Ovis aries: one gene and its partners. The protein of the gene in region 1 interacts with the protein of each later gene in a pairwise test. Links are inferred from orthologs where the notes say so. Each region holds a gene or a part of one and is shown on either strand. Other genes may lie near its edges.

Region 1 (4,224 bases):
GGGGATTGGGAGGGATGACTTCTCAGAAGGACAACTCAGAGTGAGAATGGAGGGGTGAAGATTGGTCCATCCCTTAATGATCCTAAAGGTGAGAGGGAAAAGGAGCACTGCCTTTGTCCATCTACCCAAGCTGAAGGGGTGGAGGTCTGCCCTCAGCCTCCCAGCTCAGGCGCAGTCCCCTCCTTCAGCTTCAGGAACTTCTCAGCTCCTGTGTCCTAAACAGCGACTGTCTCTAGGCCAGCTCAGACACATGCATCTTTCTTAAGAGGGTTGAGGAGGGAGGTTCAGTGAGGACTTTTCAGACATCCTCTCTGAGCTGCTGACTGGAAGCCCCCTGGGCTTTCCATTCCCACCTGCTTCTCAGCCTTTTCTTGCCTTCTTACCTAATAAGCTCCTTCTGGAACACTTGACACAACTGTGCCTATCTCAAACTTTGCAGCCAAGGGATAAACTAAATGGGCTGATGGTTTATCTCTAGAGAAGCAGGTGATTTTCCCCAGTGATATTTAACTTCCCTCTAGGGGCCAGCCTCTGGCATTGGATCAATGAGGCCTTCCTTCAGGCAAGACTCTGATGGCTGGGGGAAGCTGGGGAGGGGAGATACAGCTAGAGAGGCTATTGGTCCCCAGTCACTCATGGGTCTATCTTCTGAAGAGCCAGGAAGTCCATCCTGCAGTCTCAGCTTGATCACTGGAGAAGTGGAGCTTGGAACCCTCCCCTGGTCTAAGCCTGGCTCTCCCATGGCTCCCCCTGGCCCTCCAGTCCCTTCACAATGAACCCTTCCCACCCCCACTCTTCATGCTGCTCTGAGCTCTGCTTTCCAGGAAAAAAAAAAAAATGTTTCTGTTGGATCTGAAAGGCACCCGGGAGAGGAATCCAAGGAGCTAATGCTGAGGTGGGCCAGCTCAGGGGCAGGAAAATGACAGAGGGAAGGGCAGGAATGTGCTTGGAGGTAGCAAATCCATTCCCCCTCACCTCCCTGAGACCCCAGCGCTTGGGATGTTGAGAAGGATCACAGTGGCGGGGCCTGTGCCCGAACGGTCTCCTCAGCTACTTGGGGTTGTGAAGGGGGTTGCTGATGGCTGCTCCTTCCCTTGGCTGGGCTGACCACTGAGGTCAGCAACTCCGCCCTGATGAGGAGGCGGGTAGGGGCTCCAGAGAAGGGCCAACATTCCACCCAAACCTTCAGCTTTCAGCCTGACTCCCTTCCTGGTGGTTGAAGAGAAGGAGATGGGAGGCTGGTCACTGCCACTTCTTGCTGCTGGGTCCCCTCTCCACTTCCTCTGCCTCTGCTTCTCTCTGCTACCCCAGGCCTGTGTCTAGCTGTCTCTCTCTATGGGTCTACCCAGTACACATAATCCTGTCCTGAGCTGGGTTTGGCTTTGGCAGCTCCCTGGAGAAGTGAGGGGTGGGGGGTGGGGTGACGTGAGCTCCTGGGGCCAGGGCCAGGCCTGGCTCCCTCTCTGGAAAAGTCCTACCCCACCCCCCGCATAGCTGGGCAGGGGGCCGACACATGCACACACAGGCACACACAAACGCTGCAGAAACAGATACACATTTGTGGTTTTCAGTCTTTTCATGTTTTCCGTTTCTCATCTGGTGAGCCTCACTGTCCAGAGTGAAGAAAGGAGAGGTCAGACAGAACTGGCCATTCTTGGGCCCGGCTGACACTGGTCTAGACAAACCTGGGCTCCTCCCTGCCACAACTCCACACTGGCCAGTGGAGATCAAGGAGGAGTGACCTGGGCAGAACTAACCGCTTCACTAACCCCAAGAGACCTACCTCTGGGGAACAGTGGCACTGAGGGGCAGGGGGTGGGTCCAGGGCTCCAGGGCTGGCTGCAGAGTCCTTGTCTTGGGCGAGAACTCCTTGGTCCTCCTTGTGCCACTCCTGGGTCCTGGAGGCCCACCCAACAGGTGTCCTGCCTTTCTAGTCGTCAGGCTGAGCTGGATTCGGGGCACCCACTTGTAACCCTCCCAGCGTCTGTGCCCCCCAACCCAGGACGGAAGCGGATGACAGGGTTGGGGGGATGGGGGAGGAACGCATCATCCAGAAATACCGTTCCAGAGGGGAAGGGCAGGAGGTGCCCGGCGCGTGCCGGGAGCTCCTGGGTGTGTTTTCCAGTTTTATTCTGTGTAGGAATTTTGGCTGATTCTTCGTCCGAGTGATGGGGCCAGCGTTCCAAGAGATCAGAGCCCCCTCCCCAGGAATTGGACCCCAGGGACTGGAAGATCTTCCGAGGCTATAAGAACTGGGGCCGGGGTCGTGGCTGGGGCGCGACCGCGGGGCTCGGAGAACCCGGACGGCGCGGCGGCGTGGGGCGGATGGTCTAACCAGACGGGGGAGAGAGGGCGACCGGGGCCAGGGGTCCCAGGGAAGATCTGTACCTGCTCTGCGCGGCCCCGGCGGCCAGCTAACCCCTCTGCGCCCGGGCGCTCCCTCCAGGCAGCCTCGCTCCGCGGCAGCCACTGCGGCCCCTGGGCCGGGCTACGGCCGCCTCCGGCCGCGGCTCCGCCCCCGCCCCGCCCCGCCCCGCCCCGCCAGCCCGCCCGCCACGCGCCCGGCGGCAGCCCCCCGGCGGCCCCCGAATCCCCAGCCCGCCAGGGCCACCCACCCTGGGCTGCGGGCCTTGGCCGCTCCCGCCCGGCACCTGCCGACCGCTCCAGGGGGCGAGGCCGAGGAGGTCCCAGCCGGGTTCCGAGGGAGCCATCGCGCCAGGGCTGTCCCTCGACCCGGCTGGGGCTCGGGTCTCCGGGACCGCGGTCTCCCGACCGGCTCTGAGTGGGCGGTGCGAGCGCTGCGCCAGCCCGGGCGGAGCGGCCGCGAGGGGCGCCAAGGGGTTGGTGGCGCCGGTACCCGAGCGGCGTGGGCGAGCCCCGCGCCCCACATTGGGGCGTTGCTGGGCTGGGAGATGGTCAAGCCTGACCTCGATTCCACGTTGGTCAGGGCCCTCTCCATCACGCAGCCTCCCGTGCAAGCCCAGTTATCCCTGCTTCTCCTAAATTGGACTGTGAACCATGTGGTTCTGACTGCTCAGGGACCCTCTAAGCCTCGGTTTCTTCATCCATAAATGTTACCTACGGGGCGTAGCGCAAGGAATGCGCTGATTTAGGAATCAGAGGATCTGGATTTGAATCTCCCTCTGTGATCTTGGATGAATGCTTCAACCTTTCTGTGCTGCAGTTTCCTCATCTGTAAAATGGGGTTAACCTGACATACACGAATAGGCTTGGAGATATGTCTGCCTAGTTACTTAGATCAGGAAGAATACATCCCAAACTCGGAACTGGGGGCAGCAGCTGGGGAGGGGTTGGGAGAGGAAAATAAAAATATAAGCTTTCACTTTTTTACTCTGTATGCTTATATGTTTTTGAATGTTTAACCACAGGCATTATCTGTTTTTTATGGTAAAGAAATAAATAATACACGTAAAATGACAGAGTAGATAAAGTCATTATTTTTCTTGTCACCACTATTTTAAAAGTTTTATTTGCCATTTTTTCATGAACTACAGTCATGTACTGTTGGGTCTACTCTCAAGCATTTGAAAGGTTTTATTTATTTATTTTTTTCCAGTGACTTGTCAATATTTTAAAACCAGGATATTCAGTAGCAGGGTATCAGGTGTTCCCACCTAATACTTATTGAGCACTTTCTGCACTTGGTGTGGAGGGCACAGTTAGAACAGCCTCTGGCCTTAAGGAGTTGGGTCTAGTTGGAGACAGACTTGGGAGGTAAGTACTGGACTCAACAGAAGCAAATGTTGTCTCAAGAGATGAGGGAAGTGAAAACATAAAATGCTTTTAAGTATAAGTATTATATCCTTATTTGAAGTTCAATATCTATATTTTATTATAATTTATAAGTTATATAATTTATATTATAAAATTATAATTTTATTATGATTTATTATTATTTCAATAAACCCCTAAGTTTTCTCAAGACAAGGACCATTTAGGCCACTTTGTGTCATCTCTGTTTTTTCATCTTTTGTATTTCTGTTTTGGTTTTTGTATTTGTAGAGTTAATAGAAATATTTGGAATGAAACAGAACAAACAGATGAGTCCCAGGTGCCCAGGCCTGCTTTCTGACTTTTTTTTTTTTGCTTTCTGACTTTAAACTCAGGCTCACTGGGTGGTGGGTAAACTGGCAGGGAATCCCTGAGACTCCTGTTATTTTGTGGGGTGCAGGACAAGATTGCTAAAGCATTTATTTTTAAGTT
Region 2 (4,117 bases), on another chromosome or scaffold:
TGCCGGAGGAAGGAGTCACAGGATGGGGAGGTGACGCAGGCTATGGATCTGTGCAGAACTCGGCTCTATAAGGCCTTAGCCCGAAGACCACAGATTCTTTGAAAAGTAAAATTTCTGGATCATTATCACTTCTTTTCGGGCTTGGAATGGGACAGACACTCGTAGGGCGACGCTAGGAGTGAGGAGAGGTTAAAATCGGGGGCAACCTTGGGAGGTCAGAGCCCAAAACGCAGAGTGCGCTAGGTCCCAAGACTAGGCAAAAATCTGTTCGGGTGGGAGAGGGCATCACACCACACAAGCAAACATCCCCTCGACCTCAAGGCAGCAGGAGACCCAGAGCATGAGGGGTTGTTTCGTTTTGTTTCAAATGTTTTTGAAAGTGGAACGGACAGGTAGACTCCAGAGAGCCAAGGTGAGGCACAGCGGAGGGCTCGCGGCACCTGGGCCTCTCCGGGACGCATTGCTCACTGAGTACATCCTTCCAGAGTCTCCGCGGCTGGGTCCCACAGCCGCTCTACCAGTTTACCTCTCTGTGCCTGGCCGCTGAGAGATTGCTTACCCGGAATCCCACCCACACTTCTACCACCGATTCGAGCCCAGGTCCGGCCGAGGCGACCAGAAGGCGCCACCGTACAGGTGGCGGTTCAAACACGCCGCCCGGGATCACCCGCACCTCGCCACAGCCGCAGGCCGTGCTTCCCCAGAGCAAGCCAGTCCTGGCTGCGGACAATGGGGTCCCGGCCGGGGTCGAAAGGTGACCTGACCAGCGCCCCAAGGGTCTGGCGGATTTGGGAAGCCTCAGTGCAATAGGTCTGGTGCGCTTCCGGATTATTCTACTAGCTGAACCAGAGCCCGAGGACCCGATCCAGACTAGAGAACTAGGCCTCTGCGGCGTAGTTCGCGCTGCCCCGGGCAGGAAGGTCGACGCCTGGCTTCCCCAGGTTGCCCCCCAAACGGAGGTGCTACAATCAGGAGTCAGGAAGTAGCGCTGGAAGAGTGGGACGGAGACCCCAGAGGACCTGTCGCTTTAGCCCGCTTCACAGGAACTTAAAGCAGACCTGGGACCCGGGCTAGAAGAGTTCAGGGAAAGAAAGAAGTTAGAGCTAGAGAAGTCTCCCGCTTCTCTCCCCAGGGACCCACGGCCTGGGCCGGGAAAACTCGGTTTGCAGGGAAGGCGACAAAAGGGAAAGAGCCGGGGCCAAGGGAGAATGGGACTCAGCTGTGGCGACTCTGCTAGACTGCAATGGTGAGTTTTCAAAGACTTTCTTCAAACTTAGCACTTTAGCTGGGTTACTTCGGAGGAGGCGGGGGAGGGGTGCGGGGCCGCCGCGGAGCTCCGGGGTCCTCCGCTCAGCAAGAGGGGAGCCAGGTGGCTTCCCAGCCCCGCCCCCCACATGCCAGGGACCGGGGAAGCGGGGACCCATTTGAGGGGGGCGGGGGGCAAGAGCCACGACGCGTTCCCAGAGTCCCGGGCGGCCAGCGGCTTTCTCCTTACCTGCCCTCAGCTGCCGGGGCCGCTCACCATCTACCTCTCGCCCTCACACAGACCCTCTGGACGGCCAACCTGCAAAACAGAGCGGCACAGGAATTACCGCGGGCCCGGGCGGGGGGTCAGGGAGCCGCGGGATTTCTTTCTTTCCCCAACTTCCCTCCTCCCTTTCTCTTTCTTTCTAGTGGCTTTGTGCGTGTCCTTCCAGGTTTCACTTTATTGCACAGACACTTTGTTTGCAAAGCCCCACACGCTCCCGACACAGTGCCTCACCCGGGACCGCACCGAGGGGGCCGCAAGGAGAAGGTGGGGGTAAGAGGGGCAGAGCTGGGAGGTGGCTCGAGGTTGCCGTGGCACTCCGTGCAGCGTGGAGGCGGTGGGGGCTGGGGAAGTCCTGCAGAGGCACTTTGCAAACTAAATAAATCAAGCGAGTTACCTTGTCGGAGTGGCTTGTCTCGCCGGGTTGTTTAGGTGATTGGAAATGTAGCCTGATGAAGATTGATCACCTTTCTACTGCCCTCCCCGGGTATGTGAACGCGAGGTGAGTGCGTAACGGGGCTAGGCTGCCAATCCCCGGCCCCGCGCGGGCTGAGTGACAGGGAGCCGGGCAATGGCAGCACGAGCCGGGGGTTACCTCCGCGCTCCCCCGCCCTCCCCCGCCCCCTGCACCCCGCCCTCACCGCCCGCCCGCCCCGCCCCGGTCGCGCGCTAACTCCGGGGCTAGACTGGCAAACGCAGCGCAGAGCAAGACGAGCAAGGCGAGCGCCGCGCGGGAGCCCGGGCCGCGGAGGGAAACGCTGGCCCTGAGGTTGCCCCGGGGCTCCCCGCCCTTCTCTCGCCCTTTTGGCGCCCTGGAGGGAGTGGCAGAGAGGAGGCGAGGTGCTGGAGAACCGGTTCCCTCGCTCTCTGGCACGCCACCCGATGGGCGCGAGGAGCCGGGAGCTGCGGGCTGGAGGGGAACCGGCCTCCGGCCCCTCTCCCGACGCCGCGGGCCCCAGAGTCTTCATGCACCGGGCCATCCGCGGGCCCCAGAGTCTTCATGCACCGGGCCATCACCCGCAGACGCACGCGGCGGGCAACTCGTGCTGGTCCGGGCTACTTTGCTGAGAGCGGGAGCAGACCCGAGCGCGCAGATCCCGCCTCGGCGCCTCAGGACTCCAGTGCCCTTGAGCCGCACCCGCAAGGGAGGCACGGCCACTTACCTGCTCTTCGACGTCTCCTGGAGTTTCCAGTCCCCACGATAGGTGTTTGCAAATCCTGAAAGCTTCTTTTGAAATGTCGGCTCCCAGCGTCCCCTCCCCTTTACACATACACTGTACTTCTGAATCAAAAGGTTTGGATAGAAAACTTTGTCTTTCACACTGGCTCCTTTTACTAGGGGACAATCTAGTGGAAAACGTGGCCACAGACTCTGCCCTCAGTTTCCTTCCTTCATGCCGCCGGAGCCTCCTTGAGCGATCTCCCCGGATAGTTCGTACTGGCGAAGCCCATTTCCCAGTCGAACAAACTTCTCAAAACACGTCTACCTGGGTGGACTTTTCAAAGCGCAAAAAAAGTGTTTGCGCCCCAACGCTGAGTAATGCAATTCTTTTAAATGGCACCTCCTCCTGAATATTAGGCCGACTTTACTTACCCCCTTTCGAGGAATTCCTACCGCTTCTTCTTAATCTCCCCCCCGCCCCCTCCCCTCCACCTCAACAGGCGGAGTGAAAAGTTTGAACCAGAGTAAGTGTGAGGGCGAGTCTAGGAGCCGCCGGGCGCTTCGCAGTGGGGAGCACCGGCGCTGCGGGGCCGCGGGGTAGGGCACCGAGAACGCACCGGGCGCGGGGCGAGGAGGTGGCGGAGAAGGACGGGGGAGCCCGCTGAGTGAAAAGGGGCCGCGGCCGCCGCTCATCAAAGTGCTTCCCCTCCCCCAAGCGACACTTTCCTTTGGAGTCCGAATAAAATACGGTAACAGAATATGATGGAGGGCACACTGTTTCCTTAACTGCTTCTCAAAGAACCCGGGAGATCTTCTTAGGACCTTTAATAAGGCTTTGGTCGGTTCTTTTGTTGATCTCTCAAAATCAACTCCTTCTAATTGAAGTTGGAGCTGAAAGCGAGCTAATGTTCAAAGAAAGTGGCCGCCAGACTAACGAAATTACATTTTTTTTTTTTTGACGATGAGGGAACATCTAATCAAAGGGGCAAAAGAGGAGGGGTGTGGGGGGGGAGTATGAAGGAGAAAAGGTTTTACAAGATCCTTCTCTGGTTCACAAAAGTCAGCGACACGGGCGCTTCTCTCCAGAACAAAGACACCGCGGCCCATTCACAAAAGCAAGAGAAAGAGAGAGCGAAAACAATAAAAGAATGAGAGAAAAGGAAAAACACGAACAAGATAAAGCCTTAACAGGAAAAGAAACTGCGCAGAGCGCAGCGCTGACTCGAGTGGGGACACATATTAGGCTCGCGCAGGCCCCCGCGGGGGAATAGTTCGCGAGGCCCTGGGCTCCGAGCCCCCGAGATGCGCAGAGATTTAAAGCTAGAAACGAAATATAGCCCCCGCCTTCGGTTCTGGGGAAAAGCGCTGACTGGAGCGCACTAGTTTGTCGGGAAGAGTTGGCCGGCACGCTGGGCGCACTCCCCTGA
Region 3 (4,154 bases), on another chromosome or scaffold:
AAGAGTTGGACATCACTTAGTGACTAAATAACAACAGTGTCATAAACATACTAGGCAGAGAGGCTCAAAATTTGTTGACTTATTTTTCCCCTGGAGTGAAATGAACAGCCCTCACCTATCTGCAAGATATCACATATTTAGCTCAAAGGTGACAAAATCGATCAATCCTCTGATGCCTCCAAATATGTAGATACATCGCTTTGTCTAGATGTTTTGGCAAGGCATAGACACAACACAATAAGCTTAGACTTTCTGTTTCTATGAGGTTTCATTTCTATGAATATTTTACATTTGATTATTGTCTTGGGCGCCCAGAATGGGAGTGACTCAATCAAACGCCTCCTCATCCATCCAAGCATTCTTTGAGAAAATTTTAAAAGAATACTAGCAACTAATTATATACCTGAACAAAATCTTTCAACTTGTGACCAAGTATACTACCCGCCCTGTTTATCTGTAAGATCTGTGCTAACTACAGATATATTTCTAACTGCTTTGTTCCCAAGCCAATCCCCTCTCCCAATAACCCACCGGTGCAAGTTCCAGACCACAGTGAACATCTGTGAATCAGTGAGGTGTTGGTTAGGATTTTATTTTTTGCTTTTAAAGGTCTTTATGGGGCTAGGAAGGAAAGTTGAGGAACACGCATGGGGATATATAGAGTCGATTGGGCTGGAATGTCTGTCAATAAGGACAGAGTGTGTCTCTTTTACCGTATTCTTGGAAAAAAGATTATGTGCGTGTTCAGATGGAGTCACTGCAGTATGGCCCGTTCCCTGACTGATTCATAAGGGGCGATCTCAGGTGTGGAGTTCCAAGCACCTGCTTGATCACACTCCGGCAGTTCAGAACCTAGCGTATTTGAGGCCGGTGGCTCAGGTTCCACTTAATTTGGCTCAGGTGTCACTAACACTATGTGCGGTGCCCGTCACTGAGTCGTACTTTGGGACTTGGATACTTACTTCAGACTTTCTTGTTTCTCCCCGCTTCCTTCCCATTAGTTTCCCTTTCGCTCCTCCGTCTCCGGGGTGCCCACTTCCTCCCTTTGCTCCCATTCTCCGCTTTCTTCTCTTTCCTTCCTACTGGGCTTCCCGTCTCTCATCCTCGGAGGGCCGCGAGGCTCGAGGCTCAGGCTCGGCTCCGAGGAGGAGGAGGCGCGAGGCCGGCGGGACAGGCGCGAGGTGCCGAGCCGCGAAAGCGCGGGGCGCGCGCCGGGGCGGGGGCGCGCGCGGGCTGGCCGCGTGGCCGGGCGGCCGGACCAGGGAGCGGCGCGCGCGCGCGTGGCCCGCGAGCCCCTGGCGCGCCCCCGGCGGCCGGGGCCGCAGCGTGCTCGCCCCCGCCGCCAGCTCGCCTCACTTATGGGTCGGAAGCGCTGCGTGGGGGAGACTGTTCCAAGATGGCGGCGGGTTGCTGCGGGGTGAAGAAGCAGAAACTGTCCAGTTCGCCCCCCTCTGGCTCGGGTGGCGGTGGTGGCGCCTCCTCCTCCTCCCACTGCAGCGGAGAGAGCCAGTGCCGAGCCGGGGAGCTGGGACTAGGAGGCGCCGGTACGCGGCTCAACGGGCTAGGAGGTCTAGCCGGAGGAGGTAGCGGCAGCGGCTGTACCCTCTCTCCCCCCCAGGGCTGCGGCGGCGGCGGCGGGGGGATCTCCCTGTCGCCCCCTCCGAGCTGCGGAGTGGGGACCCTACTTTCTACCCCGGCCGCCGCCACCTCTCCCTCGCCCTCCTTGTCGTCCGCCGCCTCGTCCTCATCGCCCGGCTCCCGGAAGATGGTGGTGTCAGCGGAGATGTGCTGCTTTTGCTTCGATGTGCTCTACTGTCACCTGTACGGATACCAGCAGCCCCGGACCCCCCGGTTCACCAACGAGCCCTAGTGAGTACCGTGCCCTCCGCCGCCCTCTCCCTTGCGCTCGGGATGGGGCTCAGAGTTGAGGCAAAGTACGAGTCCGCCTCCCCGCCGGCCGCTGCCCCTGCCCCTCTGGCTGCCCCGGGTCCCTGGAGCCACTCTCCCTGAGTACGGGCACCCCGCACTTTCTGCCCTCTGAGACAAGCGCCCCACACTTGGAGAGGGGTGCTGCTGCGAGAGATGGCTCGCTGACTCCCAGAGGTGTTCGCTTTCTCTTTGAGGTAACTTCGAGGAGTTTTGACCCTCTCCTTCGCCACCCCGGCTCCCCATCTCTGGGTTTGGGAGCTCTGGATCCCTCACGGTGTTGACCTCTCCTGGATTGGGTTTCCTTGACCCCCAGTGAAAGTCCCGCCGGTGTTCCCGCCCCGCGTACCATGCACATGGAGCGTTACTATCCCATTGCAGCGTAAAAAATAGCAACTATCCAACTTCTGCTCTGCCAGTGATGGAACTTAGCTCCGGAGCCTATGAGCTTACCCATCTTTTTCCTTTGGGTTTCCTTGTGTCCTGGGGAGGGAAGACACATGTTCCCTTAGTACCTATTTTTATCCGAACTTACCCATTAAAATGTGTTTCTAGTGAAGCGCACCGCTGGCTCTCTCACATTTAAAGAGTGAGTTTTTTTTTTTTTTTAATTCCACCGTCTGGGTAATGGCTCATTCAAAGAGAGCTGTCCCCATAGAGCCACTGTCAGTTTGTACATTACGCGTGCACTCGCTTTTGTGTCTATTTCACTTTTAAGAAACCCATGTTAGGCTTGACGATTCGGGAACTAGTTAAACAGTAAGTGTGTAGGAATTTTTATGGTTTCCTCCGGTTTTGTACTTTTATTTTACCCTTCAAGTGTGTGGTTGAAATTGTTTAAAATAAAACTGTTACAGCTAAAAGCCAGGTTAATTCTAATCCCTGTCCATTTGGATGTGTGGGAGATGGGGCATGTGTTGTTTTTCTAATGTGTACACTTGAGTGTAAACTGACTTTTTGAGTTAAATGCTCAAGACGGAATGTAAAGCCTAAGGAAGGGCAGAATGACAAAGAGGGTGATTGTTTTTCTTATGAGTACTTAGCATCAATGGGTAAAATAATAGAGAAAAATTTCAGTGAAACTTACACTGAAAAGCATCAACCCTTTTTCTGGCTAAGACAAGTGCCCCTTGTCCCCATACCGTAAGTACCTAAATTGATGTTCTTTTAAAACTGCTTCTTTTCATTTTGTGAGATTAGGGGATTAACTGCAACTGGATAGTATAAACACTCTGCCTAGTCTAAAAATATTCATTTAATATGTAAAGTGAAAATTGCAATAAAGTATCCTGGAAATTGTAAATTCGTTTTGTTTTTCTTTGGCTTTGATACTTGAAATGTATTTCATTTTGTATTTTTGCTACTTTCCTGTGGTCTGTGCATTTTCTTTCAGACCTGGTTCCTTTTTGGGCATTGGTTCATAAGAAATGCTTGAAAGAGCAGAGACTGACACTTTGTCAAATTACATATCTTGATAACTTTCATAGTTTCAATTCTAAAAGCTTAAATCCTAAACCCACACCTGTACTTAGCCAATTTGCTTTTTGGTTAGGAAGTAGAACTCATTTTGAAAAAGACTGCCATGTAAAAAAAAAAAGTCTATGAAATATTTATTAGGTTGAGTCACTTATTTGTGACTTTTCTGCCTTCTCTTGGATGTCTATGGTGTATTAAAGCCAGTCCGGGGATGATACATAGGTTGGCTCAGCAAAGTCATGGAACTGCAAAAATTCTCTCCTGTTTAGTTATATGAGTTTGGCAAAGGCTATTTTACTATTCACGCTCCATTGCTCCAAAGCATATGCGAACACACTTTCAGGAGGTGCTATTTTCACACATTTTAAAGTGAGTTTGGGTTAACTGAATGACTGTAAGAAGAATTTTAAAAGGAAAGTGAGCTTGACCAGCTCATACAGAAACTGCTTTTGAAGGTGTCATTTAAGAGTGGCTACTTTATACACATATTTAAGTATTATTCCTCTAATACCCCACCCACTGGATTTATTTCTCTTGGAATTAAACAGAAAAAATAAGACACCCTTTGACCACTGTGGATATGTTGCAACAATGGTGAAAGAATAATAACTGTTATCATTTAGCAGGCCTTGACTGTGTGTGTCATGTATTCCACCAAACAACAAATTTAGAAGAGACACTGAACATGACCAAGGGGAGAATGGAAGTTCACTTAAGTGGAAAGAGGAGTGCATCTTTATTTTCATTTATCT
Region 4 (4,186 bases), on another chromosome or scaffold:
GGCTGTCTTTCTCTATTATTCACACTACTGCAGTAGCTACTTTCTAATCTATAAATCTGGTCATGTCGTTCTGTGTCTTCAAGCTGGTTTTCCAGTGCTTATAGGATATTCAAAATTCACTGCCACCCCAAGTAACATCTTTGCTTCCAGCCCATGGGCTTAAGGAGTTTCACCAAGCATGCTTTCACACTTTAAAGGCTTTGTTCCAGTTTTTTTTTTTTTTTTTTCCCCTCACGTGTTTGCAATCTCCCTTCCTCCCTGATCATATTCTTTTTTCTTTAAAGGCTGGTCTGAAAAACTCACAGCTTGTCACTTTCTGTTCTGGGGTCAGAGAGCATTATGTTCAAATCTCCATAACGGCCAATCACACTTCGTTAATAATTTAAAACTCTTCTGCCTCCCTATAAGTCATTCATTCTTTCATTAAATATTTATTGAACATCTGTTGGGTAACAGGCCTTCTCAGCACTGAGGGTACACCTGTGAGCAAGACTAGGTTCTTATGTAATTTATATGGAAAGTAAGAAAAATACCAAGTCATGGTGAGTCCTACCGCGACAATGTCGAGCGAGTATGATTGTTCAAGACTGCAAGGTCAGGAGGGATCACTTTTTTGAAGTACCTTTAAGCTATGATTTTGAAAGCGTCAAGCTTAGTTGGTAAAGAATCGCCTGCAATGCGGGAGACCTGGGTTCGATCCCTGGGTTGGGAAGATCCCCTGGAGAAGGGAAAGGCCACTTTCCCACTCCAGTATTCTGGCTGGAGAATTCCATGGACTATATTAGTACATGGGGTCGCAAAGAGTTGGATGCGACTGAGCGACTTTCACTTCACAAATGACACAATCAGAGGTCCAGGTCGCGGGAATAGCTGTTGCGAGCGCCCCAAGGCAGTAATGAGCTGGTGTGGCTGGAGCCGTGAGGGGGAAGGAAGGTGTGTGAAGCCGAAGGTGTGGGTCCCAGATGGATGTTTACAAAGGACGACAGGGTCACTACGTGCAGAAGGTCTGAAGGCAAGCGAGGACAGGCGCAGATTCCCACCCGGCGTGTGGGTTCCACTGCTGGCACGCGACACTTGAAACGCGCTCTCCTCTCGGAACATCTCACACCAGCTCCTTTCTCCCCGGCGGTGGCAGACGGTGACACAACCACCGTGCAGCTGTAGACTACATAACGATTCAACGCAGGTACCGGGGAAACAGCCACACGCGCGGAAGCCCAAGCTGTGAGGTGTAGCGGGTAAGCGGTCCGCGGTGCACGCGGAAGAGGCGGGTGGAGGGGCTCGTCCTAGGCCCGCCCGGCCCGAGTGCTGCGCATGCGTGCGCGCGTGCTCTCGTCGGTTAGGGCGCCGGTCCCGAGAAGAGGCGGGGCCAGGCTTCCGCGCCGGAAGAGGGTTGGCTGGGCGGGGCCGGGAGGCGGCGGTGGCGGCTGCGCGCGCGCGCGCGCGGGTGCGAACGGGGCACGCCGCGAGGGCCGGGGAGGGCCGGGCGGTGGGGACGACGGACGGCGACGATGGCCGCGGCGGCGGGCGGCGGAGGGCTGGGGACGACCACCGGCGCCGCGGGCGCAGGAGGCGCGGCGGCGGCCACGGGCCTGGCCGTTTATCGGCGGAAGGACGGGGGCCCGGCGAGCAAGTTTTGGGAGAGCCCGGAGACGGTGTCCCAGCTGGATTCGGTGCGGGTCTGGCTGGGCAAGCACTACAAGAAGGTGGGTCCGCGCGCCCGTAGGGGCCGAGGAGGCCACGCGACGGGGGCCGGGGGCGGCTGCTGGGCTCGCGGGCCTCGGGCCGCCCCTCCCCCCGCGCGCCACGAGGGACAACAAAGGCAGGCGCCGGGCCCGCCACGCCCCCGCCGCGAACTCTCGGCGCCCGCGCGCCCGCGGCTCCGCGGGCCCTCGGGGCGCCGCTCCTGGGAGCCCGGGCATCCGGGGCGAAAGCCCCTGCCCGCGCTTGTGAGGGAGCGGGTCGGGCTTCGTGACCGGGAGGTTGTGACTCTTCCTCTTTGTTAGCCGCTTTAGGTGTGTTAACAGTGGTTATTAAAACTGTCTGAGCCGAGCTGTAAGAGCCGCGGCAAGTTTTGTTTAAGAGACCAGTCTTCAAAGTCCAGTGAGGTAACCAAGGTTTTCTTAAACCTGTAGTTGATATGCTAAAGAAGGACTGTGGACCGCTGTACTCCGACGTCGGTAACTGCAGGTTAATATAATGGATCACAGTGTTCTTGGGGACTCACTAATATTGATAAAACGACGGCTTTTACTTCACAGTTCCCTCTGCTTATGTATAGTGGGAATTCGAGAGTTAATGTTGGCTTGTAGCTAATGTGAGGCTTTCCCTGAGAACCCCTTTCGTGTTAGGTCACCCCACTTCATATCACCTTCGTTTTCTTCATACTGTTTTTTTGGGATTATTTTCATTTACCTGCTTGTCTTGCCTTTGGAGTGTTAGTTGGACTGAGTCATTGGTACTGAAAGTTGTGACTTAGTCCCATTGTTTATAACAACTTTTTTAGTTTCCCCTTTATATAACTTATTTAGAAATGACTGACCCCCTTAGAAAGTGTAAGGAAGCCGACTGCCAAAAAAAAAAAAATTGCTCTCTGTGTCTCAGAATTTCCTGAACACCCTTCACAGTTCTCTAACTTCCTCCGTTGTGGACCATTGCCCTGGAGCTAGGACCTTGTTTGGCCTGTTCACTACAGTGTGCCCTGGAACATTTTTGATCCTCATTGCTTGACCCTTAGTAGTTGCTTAGTAAATATTTGTTGAATGAATGAAAAGATAAAGTAGTCTAGAAACCTACTTTAGGTTTCGGGTGTACAGTACAGTGAAACTTATCAGCCTTTGGAAGTTGTTAGGCATAGGCAGGGGTCTAAGGTTCTTCTGATACTCCACTGTGATACTTTCAGAACTCACCATTTCTTATCTCAAGTTTTGGGCTTCCCTGGTGGCTCAGTAAAGAATGCCCCTGCAGTGTGGTAGATCTGGGTTCCATCCCTGAATTGGGAAGATCCCCTGGAGGAGGGCATGGCAACCCCACTCCAGTATTCTTGCCTGGAGAATCCACATGGACAGAGGAGCCTGGCGGGCTACAGTCCATGGGGTCACAAAGAGTCTGACACGACTGAGTGACTAGGCACACAACACACACACATCAGTTTTTAGAAAGTGAGAGGTGACATATATTCTTACTTACAATATATTTTTTGGTGCTTTGACTTTATTCCCCTAGGAATTTTGGAGTCTCATTTGAGATTGTAGATTTTCCTCACTTATATGTTAAGTAGACAGTATTGTTTTTCCTTGTACATTGGTAAATTGGTCACTTTTTTTGTGTGTAAACAGTAGAGCTTATGGTAGTAGCTAAGGGAATTGAATATGCTTATATTATGAAATTATTGTTTATCACGTGCTTTTCAGGCAGTATTTTGGGTCTTAATATACCTTAATGTTTTTTAGTTAATTTTTTGGCTGCACTGGGTGTTGGTGCGCTCAGACTATCTGTCATTTCAAAGAGCCGGGGCTACTCTTCGTATGGGCTTCTCATTGCAGTGGCTTCTTTTGTTGTGGAGTACAGGCTCTAGGGTGCTCAGGGCTTCAGTAGTTGCTGCATATGGGCCTCAGAGCACAGGCTCAGTTGTTGTGGCATAGGGGCCTGGTTGCCCCACAGCATGTGGGCTCTTCCCAAACTAGGGATCAAACTGATGTCCCAGTGTTGCAAGGCGGTTTCTTAACCACTAGACCACCAGGGAAGGCCCAGGCTGGATTTTTTACCCCAGTTTTGTTGAGATATAATTGACATATAATGTTGTATTGCTCTATCAGTGTAGCTTTAACAGAGAGATACTCAGGAGGAATATTCCTTTGGATAGCAAGAAAGGGAATAGGAAGAAAGGAAGTACAGTGATAGTTATTTCTGCCTTTGCAGACTGCATCTCTTTTGGGCCAGGTTTCAGAGGGCAGCTTTAGGGTTGGATAGTCTTTCAGAGCTGGGTTTGGGTGGATGAGGAAGTGGCTGTGAGCCTGATTGCAAGAGAGGGTTGAAGCCAGTAGGCTAATGCTGGCTCCATGTCCCTGAGGCCTTGAAGACAGAGTTAACGTTATGTTTGACCTCTCAGTGTTTCATAAAACTGAAATGTATTTCTTAGGCCTGTTCAGATTCAGAATTGCATATCCTTGGACTTGATAGTCAG

What was found. The genes of interacting proteins can lie anywhere in the genome.
Region 2: the proteins of ADAMTSL4 (region 1) and OTX1 interact in binary tests that used the Homo sapiens proteins (3 or more experiments, as listed by UniProt). The two-hybrid records come from large-scale screens. The link is inferred for Ovis aries from reciprocal best matches to the Homo sapiens genes ADAMTSL4 and OTX1.
Region 3: the proteins of ADAMTSL4 (region 1) and AMMECR1 interact in binary tests that used the Homo sapiens proteins (3 or more experiments, as listed by UniProt). The two-hybrid records come from large-scale screens. The link is inferred for Ovis aries from reciprocal best matches to the Homo sapiens genes ADAMTSL4 and AMMECR1.
Region 4: the proteins of ADAMTSL4 (region 1) and SMARCC1 interact in binary tests that used the Homo sapiens proteins (3 or more experiments, as listed by UniProt). The two-hybrid records come from large-scale screens. The link is inferred for Ovis aries from reciprocal best matches to the Homo sapiens genes ADAMTSL4 and SMARCC1.

Annotation. Positions count from the first base shown.
Region 1 is NC_056054.1:100,567,438-100,571,661, reverse strand, and holds the start of ADAMTSL4 (ADAMTS-like protein 4), read right to left. Parts: upstream 2,801-4,224; 5' UTR 2,616-2,800; intron 2,472-2,615; exon of another isoform or gene 2,389-2,471; intron 1,899-2,388; exon of another isoform or gene 1,784-1,898; intron 1,210-1,783; exon of another isoform or gene 976-1,209; intron 83-975; 5' UTR 1-82. UniProt on the Homo sapiens protein: Positive regulation of apoptosis. May facilitate FBN1 microfibril biogenesis.
Region 2 is NC_056056.1:45,201,511-45,205,627, forward strand, and holds the start of OTX1 (homeobox protein OTX1), read right to left. Parts: upstream 2,801-4,117; 5' UTR 2,692-2,800; intron 2,005-2,691; exon of another isoform or gene 1,926-2,004; intron 1,565-1,925; 5' UTR 1,496-1,564; intron 1-1,495. UniProt on the Homo sapiens protein: Probably plays a role in the development of the brain and the sense organs. Can bind to the BCD target sequence (BTS): 5'-TCTAATCCC-3'.
Region 3 is NC_056080.1:124,958,575-124,962,728, forward strand, and holds the start of AMMECR1 (nuclear protein AMMECR1), read left to right. Parts: upstream 1-1,354; 5' UTR 1,355-1,396; coding exon 1,397-1,869; intron 1,870-4,154.
Region 4 is NC_056072.1:51,970,300-51,974,485, forward strand, and holds the start of SMARCC1 (SWI/SNF complex subunit SMARCC1), read left to right. Parts: upstream 1-1,386; 5' UTR 1,387-1,511; coding exon 1,512-1,706; intron 1,707-4,186. UniProt on the Homo sapiens protein: Involved in transcriptional activation and repression of select genes by chromatin remodeling (alteration of DNA-nucleosome topology).